Drosophila melanogaster: one gene and its partner. The protein of the gene in region 1 purifies or fractionates together with the protein of each later gene. This does not show direct contact. Each region holds a gene or a part of one and is shown in the gene's direction. Other genes may lie near its edges. The genes, in order: Mfe2 and CG10859.

Region 1 (5,534 bases):
GGTATCGATGGCCCCGTAACTACTGCCATAGCTGGCCATATTATCAGGCACTCTGGAGTACTTACCCTGCCTTAGGGCAGAATCGATTGCTCCGCCATATACGACATGATGCGGCGCCAAGTCCGCCGACGATCCGGCCATCGAAGCCAAGTGGACAGGTGGCAACGAGGACATTGGAGAAGTCTCCGCCGACTCCAGCACCGCCTCGTTCACAACCTCCAGACTATAGTTGGGCGAGGACAATCCACTCTTGTCGCCCTCGTGCTCCTCCTGCACCTGTGCCGGCTTGGCACCGCCAACTGACAGCCTGAACTTCTGGTTGCCACGTGTAAAGCTCTTTCGGTTCGTCGAGTTGTGCTTAAAGTTGGGTAGTGAGTTTGGCGGCTGATAGAATGGTATCACTCGATCCAGACTGATGGTGTTGATTGAAACGGTGTCGATCTCATGACAACCACAGATCTACAAAAGGAAGTGCAATGGTTTTTATTGGATATTCCATTTGTAGACATTTTACATTTAAGATCTAAGATTGGTTTTTCAAAAAGTGAAAAACCTAGATTTCCTAAATTTGAATGCGAATTGATTCGGAAACTCAACAAGTTATGACATTCCATATTTGTGCCATTATTTTTAATGTTTTGCTCAAAATACCGATTATTTTTTTCGCATAAAATCAGTGAAACCAGTTTTGGCATAAAATGCAATATTTAAGATTGGTTTTCTGGGTATAACTTGACTAAAAATGGCCACACCGCCAAAAGAAATACCGTTTTGTGCTCCTAATTACCAATACTAACCACCCCTTTCACTTTTGGACGGATTTTGTAAAATTAGTTTTTGGCCAATTTTTCGCCTTTTTTATAATCAAAATTTTATCATCAAAATTTGCAAAAAATTTAAAAAACCTAGAATTCCCAAATTTGAATGCAAATCGATTTGGATTAAAAAAACAAACTCAACGAGGTATGACACTCCATATTTGGACCATTTTTTAGAATATTCTGACCAAAATACTGATTATTTTTGTCAAAAAAGATAACGGGGATGACGAGATTTGGAAGGGTGCTTCGCTTAATGAGTAAGTGCTTTCACTTACCAACTTATTGTTGACCACTTTCATGTCCGCCAAGGAGGACCAGGTGCTTTTTATATGGTCCAGCTCACGATCCGGTTCCCATCCAATTACCGAAATGCCCGAAGAACTGCCAACAAAAAGGCACTCGCCATTGTCACTGAAATAAATAAAGTTTAACATGCAGATAATTAGAATTTATGCACTTTTTGGCAAAATTACTATATTACTATTTCTTTTCATAAATCAATTCACGATTGCGGATTATTCTTTGCAGGACTCACCTAAAGGTTATACACCTGATGGCCTGGCCATAGAAGTGCGTGGTCTGCGAGACGAGCTGCTGGTGTTCCAGATCGTAAATGGAAACGGTGCCATCGACGCGACCGGCGGCCAGCAGGAACTCAAACGGATGGAATTGCACGCATGTGATAGCCGTAACCGGCGGATCGGCTATGAACTCCATTATCTGTTTGCTCTTCCGTATGTCCCAGATGAGTATGGAACCCTCCAGGCCAGCAGAGGCAATCCAAAGACCATCCGGCGAGAATTTTACGGAATTCACGTGGGACATGTGGCCGCGACATACCTTAATGCAGTTGTTTTCGTTCTGCACGTCCCAAAGCCTGAGATTGCAGACATATGAAAGTTAATAGTTTGCTAAATAAGCAACAAAGCATATGTAATTCATAAAGTTTCAATAATATATGTAATCTCCTAGTTAATTCATTTATTGTTGCTCAATTTATTGTTGTTTTATACATTTCTATGTTAAATAAAGAGACATAGTTGAATTTGAAATGTGGAAGATAAGTGTAATTTCCATAATTGTTCATTTTTAAATTTAATCGTCTGGAAAATGAAAACGGGTTGGAGTCTTTGCTACGGCTTAGCGAAGTTCCGAACCGAGGTTTACGTCCGCGATGCACTGCTTTCCAGCATTTTGACGGCACTACTTTCTAGTGCTCACAAACGTATGAATGCGGGCAGTATATTTTAGTGCATTTTCATGGGTTGAACCGATTAAACGATTGCAAAATTATCTCGGCAGCGAATAGTGATGCACTTTGTACCACTGATACTGGGTTAATCTGTGCATATTCGGGCATACCATACCATCATACGGCGAATCTACGAGAACTGTAAGTTAACCCTTGTTTAATGTGTGTGTGTGTGGGCCATTTCACGCGGTTCGAATAACTGTGCTGTCGTCACTGTGCAAATGTATCTTGTATCTCGGATTTCGGCGATTTCGGTGCCATCCGAAAAGCACTTGACTATGAACCGTGAACCCCTGGACTTGGACCATATCGCCTGGGTAACGTTCTTCAGCCGAAGAGTCCAGAGTTACACTCACATATGCGAGGGCAGGGCAGATAGCATTATCGCTTGAGATTAAGTACGATTGAAAAGTAGTGCTACTCTCCTTTCTTGTTCGATTATTAGCCAACCAGTTTATTTTCATCGGTTCATTCGTGTTTTACAGCCGAAAAAGCGTTGCCGCAGAGACCGGATTTGTGCAGCGAAACCAGAAATTGCGATTGCTATTGACCAATAGACAGACCATGTCCTCATCCGATGGAAAACTTCGTTACGATGGCCGTGTGGCGGTGGTGACGGGAGCTGGTGCCGGTTTGGGCCGCGAGTACGCACTGCTCTTCGCGGAGCGTGGCGCCAAGGTGGTGGTCAACGATCTGGGTGGCACCCACTCCGGCGATGGAGCATCGCAGCGGGCCGCCGACATTGTGGTGGATGAGATCCGTAAGGCCGGCGGCGAGGCGGTGGCCGACTACAACTCGGTAATCGATGGGGCAAAGGTCATCGAGACGGCCATCAAAGCTTTCGGACGCGTCGATATCCTGGTCAACAATGCCGGCATTCTACGCGACAGGAGTCTGGTGAAGACCAGCGAACAGGACTGGAATCTGGTCAACGATGTCCATCTGAAGGGCAGCTTTAAGTGCACCCAGGCGGCATTCCCGTACATGAAGAAGCAGAACTATGGCCGCATCATCATGACATCGTCCAACTCGGGCATCTATGGTAATTTCGGGCAGGTCAACTACACTGCCGCCAAGATGGGCCTCATCGGATTGGCCAACACGGTTGCCATCGAGGGAGCCCGCAACAATGTTCTTTGCAACGTCATCGTGCCAACTGCCGCCAGTCGAATGACCGAGGGCATTCTGCCCGACATTCTCTTCAACGAGCTGAAGCCCAAGCTGATTGCTCCCGTAGTGGCCTACTTGTGCCACGAGTCCTGCGAGGATAATGGTAAGTGGGATCCGAAGTTATGCGAGAATTGCATTATCTCAGAATTGATTATCATATCAATTTGTATCAATTTAACCCTTTGAGAACTACAAAATTATGCAATTTTTGGCCAACCACTGCTAAGTCATCTTTAATATGTCCAGTAGTCCAATCCAAATGGTCAACATAATCTGCCTGATTAGGGAAATTCATACTGATAGCGTTTGAACTTAGACCGTTTATCAGGAATATGTGTACATGTGTGTATATATAGGGTTTATTAAACGTTTTCTCTCTCCCTCTTCTCCGATCCACAGGTAGCTATATCGAGAGTGCCGCCGGCTGGGCCACCAAGCTGCACATGGTTCGCGGCAAGGGCGCTGTGCTGCGTCCTTCGCTGGACGACCCCGTGACCATTGAGTACGTCAAGGATGTGTGGTCGAATGTGACCGACATGTCCAAGGCCAAGCACTTGGGTGCCATCGCAGAGGCCTCCGGCACCCTGCTGGAAGTGCTTGAGAAGCTCAAGGAAGGCGGCGGCGACGCCATCGAGGATGCCTTCGAGTTCAATAGCAAAGAGCTTATTACCTACGCCCTGGGCATTGGGGCATCCGTCAAAAACGCGAAGGACATGCGCTTCCTGTACGAAAACGATGCCGATTTCGCCGCCATTCCAACTTTCTTCGTTCTGCCCGGCCTTCTGCTGCAAATGTCCACCGACAAGCTGCTCAGCAAGGCTTTGCCCAACAGCCAAGTGGACTTCAGCAACATTCTGCACGGCGAACAGTACCTAGAGATCGTTGACGATCTGCCCACCAGTGGCACTTTGCTGACCAACGGCAAGGTCTTCGATGTTATGGACAAGGGATCCGGCGCCGTGGTCGTCACCAATAGCGAGTCGTTCGACGAAAGTGGCCGCCTGTTGGTGCGCAACCAGAGCACCACTTTCATTGTCGGCGCTGGCAAATTCGGAGGCAAGAAGGATCCCATCGCTGGTGTAGTTCCGCTGCAGCCGGCGCCCAATCGCCAACCGGACGCAACCGTCCAGTATACGACCAGCGAGGACCAGGCGGCGCTGTACCGTCTGTCCGGCGACAAGAACCCCCTGCATATCGATCCCCAGATGGCCCTGCTGGCCGGCTTCAAGACACCCATCCTCCATGGACTCTGCACACTGGGCTTCTCGGTGCGCGCCGTGCTCGCTCAGTTTGCGGACAACAACCCGGCTCTGTTCAAGGCTGTCAAAGTGCGCTTCTCCGGACCCGTAATTCCGGGCCAGACTTTGCGCGTGGACTTGTGGAAGCAGGGCACACGCATCAACTTCCGCACCGTGGTCGTGGAGACCGGCAAGGAGGTCATATCCGGCGCCTATGTCGACCTGAAGAGCTCACAGGCCAAGCTGTAAGCGCGGATCACCTAGAGACACATAGTCTGCCTTAGTCGCAATGGATTATCATTGACTTTATAATTCGTTTCGCGTCCGTTTTTTTTTGTACATACACTATAACAAATATGCCTATACATATGCAATTGTTTAAACGCCCGTGGTGGTAGAAGTATTTTTTTGTAACACTTTTATAAAACTCCCAATAAAACATCACATAACTGAAAATGCAATGTTGTTTAAGATCATGGATGTAATAGATCTGAGAGATAAGATATATGAGATCCCAAAAGAAATATCAACTTTAGCTAAACAACACAAAGTGATATTATCTTTGTCAGCCTGTCCCCTTTTGTGCAATGTAGTGAGTCATATTATCTTTGTTTTACACATATATAGGTCAAGTGATATCTAAGAAAAGACCATATAGATACAATGCATCTAATATGTATGTGCATTAAACCGATATAAAATTTCTAATTTCTAAATATGAGATTTTTCTTTTGTGTAGATTATTAAACCCAAAATACGCGATTCTATAGGATTAAGCACAGCTAAAAGAGGGAGGGAGAATATCGCCATCCCTTTTCAATCAACGAATAAACTTTAAATCTGCCACTTGATAAGGAAACTAGAGCTTCCGAATGACTCATGGGTTACTCTGACTATTTATATATCGGTCCTTGGCTCACCTGACGGTGGTATCATTGCTCCCGGACACCACATATTCTCCAGACGGGTTAAAGTCCAGAGTGCGAACACTCTTCATGTGGCCATTTAGCGTGGAGTAGATTTTCTGTGAATTCAGATCCCATCTTCGGATTA
Region 2 (4,644 bases), on another chromosome or scaffold:
GAATTGTTTTGATATAAATTATCAAATTGTAAATGCTTGATGCTCATGAGCATACAGGTGCTCGCAAATCACAAGGAACTAATAAATACACTTAAAACACAAATCTTTTGCTTATTGTTATTTTAAACAAAATTTTAGGAAGCATTATAGAAGGCCCTTTTCAGTAAAGGCTAAATTTAAATTTTAAATTGTTCGAAAGTATGTAAATTTTTATATTTTAACCAACAGCGACATAAATAGTAATATATTTTATACTTAAGGCTTTCTAAATGTCCAGAACTCACCAAATTGCCCACAAGCAGCTAGTTAAGACTAAGAGCACTGTGAAACCTTTTTTGCAACTAAGGCGATGATTCCTAAAAAATTGAGTTTGGAAAAGCTTGAACATAAGTGAACAGCGCAACGAGGCGTAGAGAAACCCATTTCGCACATTTATGGCCAATCGCTAGACAAATTGGCGATGCGATGCGGTAAGAGGCGCCAGTGAAGCGCAACGCACATTCTAGAGCTCGATCTTCAACGCTGATTCAGTGGATCTGCACTGAAAACAAACTCAAACGTACATACATCCTATATAAACTTTTTCAACATACATTTATATTTCAGTGCATACAATTTCATATGAATAACGCATGGCATGCGTAAGTTAAAACAATTTTAATACTTTTAATATGAACTCTTTTGTGGACTAGAAAAATGGGTACTATCTTAAATAAAATTATATTCAATACTCTTTTCTTTCAGTGCACTTACCGAACGATGAATTGGGAAGCGGTTCTCACTGAGCGGCCGCTCGTTCTCCAAATTGCGTCGCATCGACGCATCTGGCGACTTATACGGACGAGCGCTGCCGACGAGCAGCTGGCGCTGATTCGCGAGCTCCTTGGTGGACTTCGAGGGGTGGGAGGGCAGCACACCCTGCTCGTCATCCTGCGGTTGCTCCTCCTCCTCGTGCAAGTCCAAGTGAAGTTCTTCGTTTTGGCCGCCGGTTGCCAAGGAAGACGATTGTGTGGCGAGTTCATTGGACTCCGTGGACTCCTTAAACTCCTTGGCCCTGCGACATTGCACTTTAAAGTCGTTGGACTTCATTAGCTGGACGGCGGGGCAGGGATTTTGGGTGCCCAGCCGCTGGCGATCCTTCTCCAGTTGTTGGCGTTCCAGGGAAAGGAATTCTTGCAGATCCATTTCTAAATCAACAGATTTGTGCACAGGCTTATCAAAATAGACAAAGTACATAATCCAATTGGCATAGCCTGCAACTCACCATATTGCAAAATGCTTCAATTCGCTTTCGCACATTCAATGCCAACGCAACAAAGCTTGCTCTGTACTTTTTACGCACTATTTAATTGGATAAATTAGGCGTTGCTTTCGAAAAAGTTGAATGTTTTCCGCGTTCTAACAATGCGATGTGACCGCATCTTGGCTACCTGTTACTACCCGCAACAGGCACACTAACGCGTTTAGAAAATGGTCACCCGACTGCTGTAAAATTACACACCGGAAACTGTTATTTCACTGTTAATTAACATTTTTGGATTTAAAATATATTTAATGTAATATAAAAATAAGTTGCACTATTTTAAGAAATTTCGCAGGAACTACAAGATAAATACGTAAAAATGCTATTGTAACTAATAAATTTAATTTTATATTGTAGACTATATTTCTTAATAGTATTTAGTTACAAGCTTTGAAAGTGTACATATATTTAAAATACACGTTATCCATGACTAATAAGTCAGATATAAAAGTATATCTCTACCCACGGTTTCATTCAATTTCATAGATTTGTTCAAGAAGCAAACACGTTAAAATTACTTCGTTTTTTATCCAGTGACATTATTTAAGCCCTAATACCTACAATCGTTCCAAAAAGTAGCACTCAGGGATAATCACTATCTTCCCAATTCTTATGATATCTGTTATATAAAAAAAAATTATATATATTTGATATATATATTATATATATAGTCGATTGCAATGGGAACCTTGGGCAATCAGTTCATCCTCTCGCGGGAGCGTCGCCGGTTCGGGAGGCAGTGCCTCTTCACAGACCGCAACGAGATGATCCTCAGTGTGCAGCCGAGTGGACGGTTGCGCCTCAAGTACATACTGCGCAATCCGATCAACGAACGGACCCAGCTGAGCGAACAGTATGCAGCATCTTCAGTGTTGACACACAACGTGACCCTGGATTCCCATGGCTTGAATCACTACGAAGGCGGCTGGAACGTCAAGGAGGTGAACATTATGGACGAGGAGTCCACAATGCGCTATCGCAAAAAAGTCGAGCGTGATGACTCCTGGGGCATCGAGGTGAACCAATTGATGCACGCCGCAATGGACATCAGTTCGGCCAACAATGCTGTCAACATCTACGAGGACTTCTTTGTGGATCTACCGGAGGATTTGGGCCGCGGCATCAGCATGAAGATCGCTGCCAGGGGTACCCATGTCTTTCATGATCTGTGGATCCCATCGCGTAGGCTGATGACGTGCGAATGGCTAAACAACGATCCCAATCAGTTTCTCCTGTTCTATTCCAATCGAATGAGCCTGACACCGGACTACACAAAACAGCTAAACACGCTGCCCGATTTTGGCAACGATAATCCGCATGCATTCTACATTTGGAACTTGGATGATGCCACCCGACCGGCTGCCCATTACGATTCTAGGAGAGTCGTACGGGTTGCCAAGGTGTGCCTGCGGGATGAGAGCTACATGGTGGGTGGACTACAGGAGGGTCAGGTCGGCTTCTGGCTAACCGAGAACCAGGGTGGTCCCAAGAGCATGTGTCCCCTGGAGGCGTGTCATCGCGAGGCCACAACGGCCATCTGCTGGGTGCACTCGAAACTCAACACTGAGTTTTACTCAGGATCACTGGATGGGTCCATCAAGTACTGGGATACCCGGGATCTTCTTATGCCGGTTCATGAGGTGCTGGCCGAACCGGACCCCCAGACAGTTCAAAATCGCCAGGATGCACATGGCGTAACTTTTCTCGAGTTCGAGTACACCATACCAGTGCGCTTCATATTCTGCACCGATATGGGTTACTTGTTCGTAGGCAATCGCAAGGGCACCACTCCGCAGGATACTATCGTTGCTGCCTATCAACTTTTTGCCGGTCCCATTCGCTGTGTAATGCGTAATCCGTTCTTTGTAAAGAACTTCTTGGTGGTGGGCGATTGGCGGGTGCGGATCTGGTCGGAGGAAGTAAAGAACTGCCCCAGTACCTTCTACTTCCGCCGGCCAAATCAGTTGCTGAGCGGTGCCTGGAGCACGGGACGCTGCTCGCTGTTCTGCATCGGAGACAACATGGGCAACTTGGAGTTTTGGGACCTGCTGATGTCTCACAAACGACCGATTCTCACCATCAAATACAAGTACGCCGTTACCCATCTGGTGTTCAAGCCGGATGGAACAATGCTAACCGTGAGCCTGGCCAACGGCGATTGCCTGATGCTCCGCCTGGAGGAGGGTATGCGAAGTGCCACCAACAAGGAGAAGTCTCTCATGATGTCGGTGAGTGATGATTATCATCTCTTCCAGATCCCAATGTTTTCTAATGTATTTCCTGAAAGTTCAGATGTTTGAACGGGAGATACAGCGCTGCAAACTTCTGGAGGCTCGCGAGGAAGAGATCAAGTTGAAGAAGCGCCTGACCACCATCTTCTTGGAGGAGGAACGCAAGTCCAGGGAAAAGCTGGAGGCCAAGAAGAAGAAGGGTCAGGCCAAGAAGGAGATGGAGCCGAAGGTTGAGGACGAGGCGACCATATTCCTCAGGATGATCGAGAGCGATTCGGAATTCAGCAAGGCTCTTCTGGAGTTCAACGAAGCAATGGAAAATGTCGCCATACAGCGTTCCAAGCGCACATTCGCCATGGAGCGCACTGTATTCGAAATGCATCAGCCCATTCCTTGATTTCCTTGTTATAACTTGACCAGCATTTTCTTACAATATTGTATAACCCATTTATGCATTTCAATAAAGCAATTTAAATAATAAGTTTCAATAGCTATACTACAATTAAAGAGTGTAATATAATCGATGTGGATGTTCCACAAGTTTCAAGGTATCGCAAAAGGGGTAATGCGATTAGCTGAGTAAAAGGTATCCGGTATCGGTATCGAATCCCCTGATTTATTGGTGTTTACTTAAATTTTCAGAAAAAGAAGGCCTAACTGAATACTTCAATCAATTAACAAAGGGCAGTCAGTACAAGGCAGTCGTTAGGGGAGTTTGCATACAATTTTTCACTTCATTCATTCACACTCTGGAATTGAAAGCACCAGGATGGCTGAGAGCTCCAAGGGCATGGAACACACCACCAGCTGGTACTGCAAACTTTACAATTCCCTTAAGGAAACACCCATCGATGTCACCCTTTTGATCATGTCGATCGTCGTGTTCCTCAAGTTGGGATTTTTTGCGCGTCGTCTGAGCCGCGAGGAACCAGACTTCAGTGATGATAATAATCAGGAAGTGGATCTTCCGCCACTGCGGAAGGACTTTACGGTTCGGGAACTTCGGGAATATGACGGCACACGGGCGGACGGTCGCATCCTAGTGGCCATCCTTTTCAACATCTACGATGTCTCGCGATCCGTTCACTATTACGGACGAAATGGCGTTAA

What was found.
Region 2: the proteins of Mfe2 (region 1) and CG10859 purify together in Drosophila melanogaster (affinity purification with mass spectrometry, with the first as the bait; one large-scale study listed by BioGRID). This does not show direct contact.

The regions. Positions count from the first base shown.
Region 1 is NC_004354.4:16,268,883-16,274,416, forward strand, and holds Mfe2 (peroxisomal multifunctional enzyme type 2), read left to right. Parts: upstream 1-2,068; 5' UTR 2,069-2,214; intron 2,215-2,521; exon of another isoform or gene 2,522-2,558; 5' UTR 2,559-2,637; coding exon 2,638-3,346; intron 3,347-3,642; coding exon 3,643-4,730; 3' UTR 4,731-4,933; downstream 4,934-5,534. Other genes in the region: kat80 (katanin 80), read right to left, coding at 1-459, 1,097-1,232, 1,357-1,698, 5,402-5,534. UniProt on the Drosophila melanogaster protein: Bifunctional enzyme acting on the peroxisomal beta-oxidation pathway for fatty acids.
Region 2 is NT_033779.5:13,395,761-13,400,404, reverse strand, and holds CG10859 (uncharacterized protein), read left to right. Parts: upstream 1-1,740; 5' UTR 1,741-1,983; coding exon 1,984-3,531; intron 3,532-3,595; coding exon 3,596-3,931; 3' UTR 3,932-4,013; downstream 4,014-4,644. Other genes in the region: CG7110 (uncharacterized protein), read right to left, coding at 754-1,185; CG16957 (uncharacterized protein), read left to right, coding at 4,304-4,644.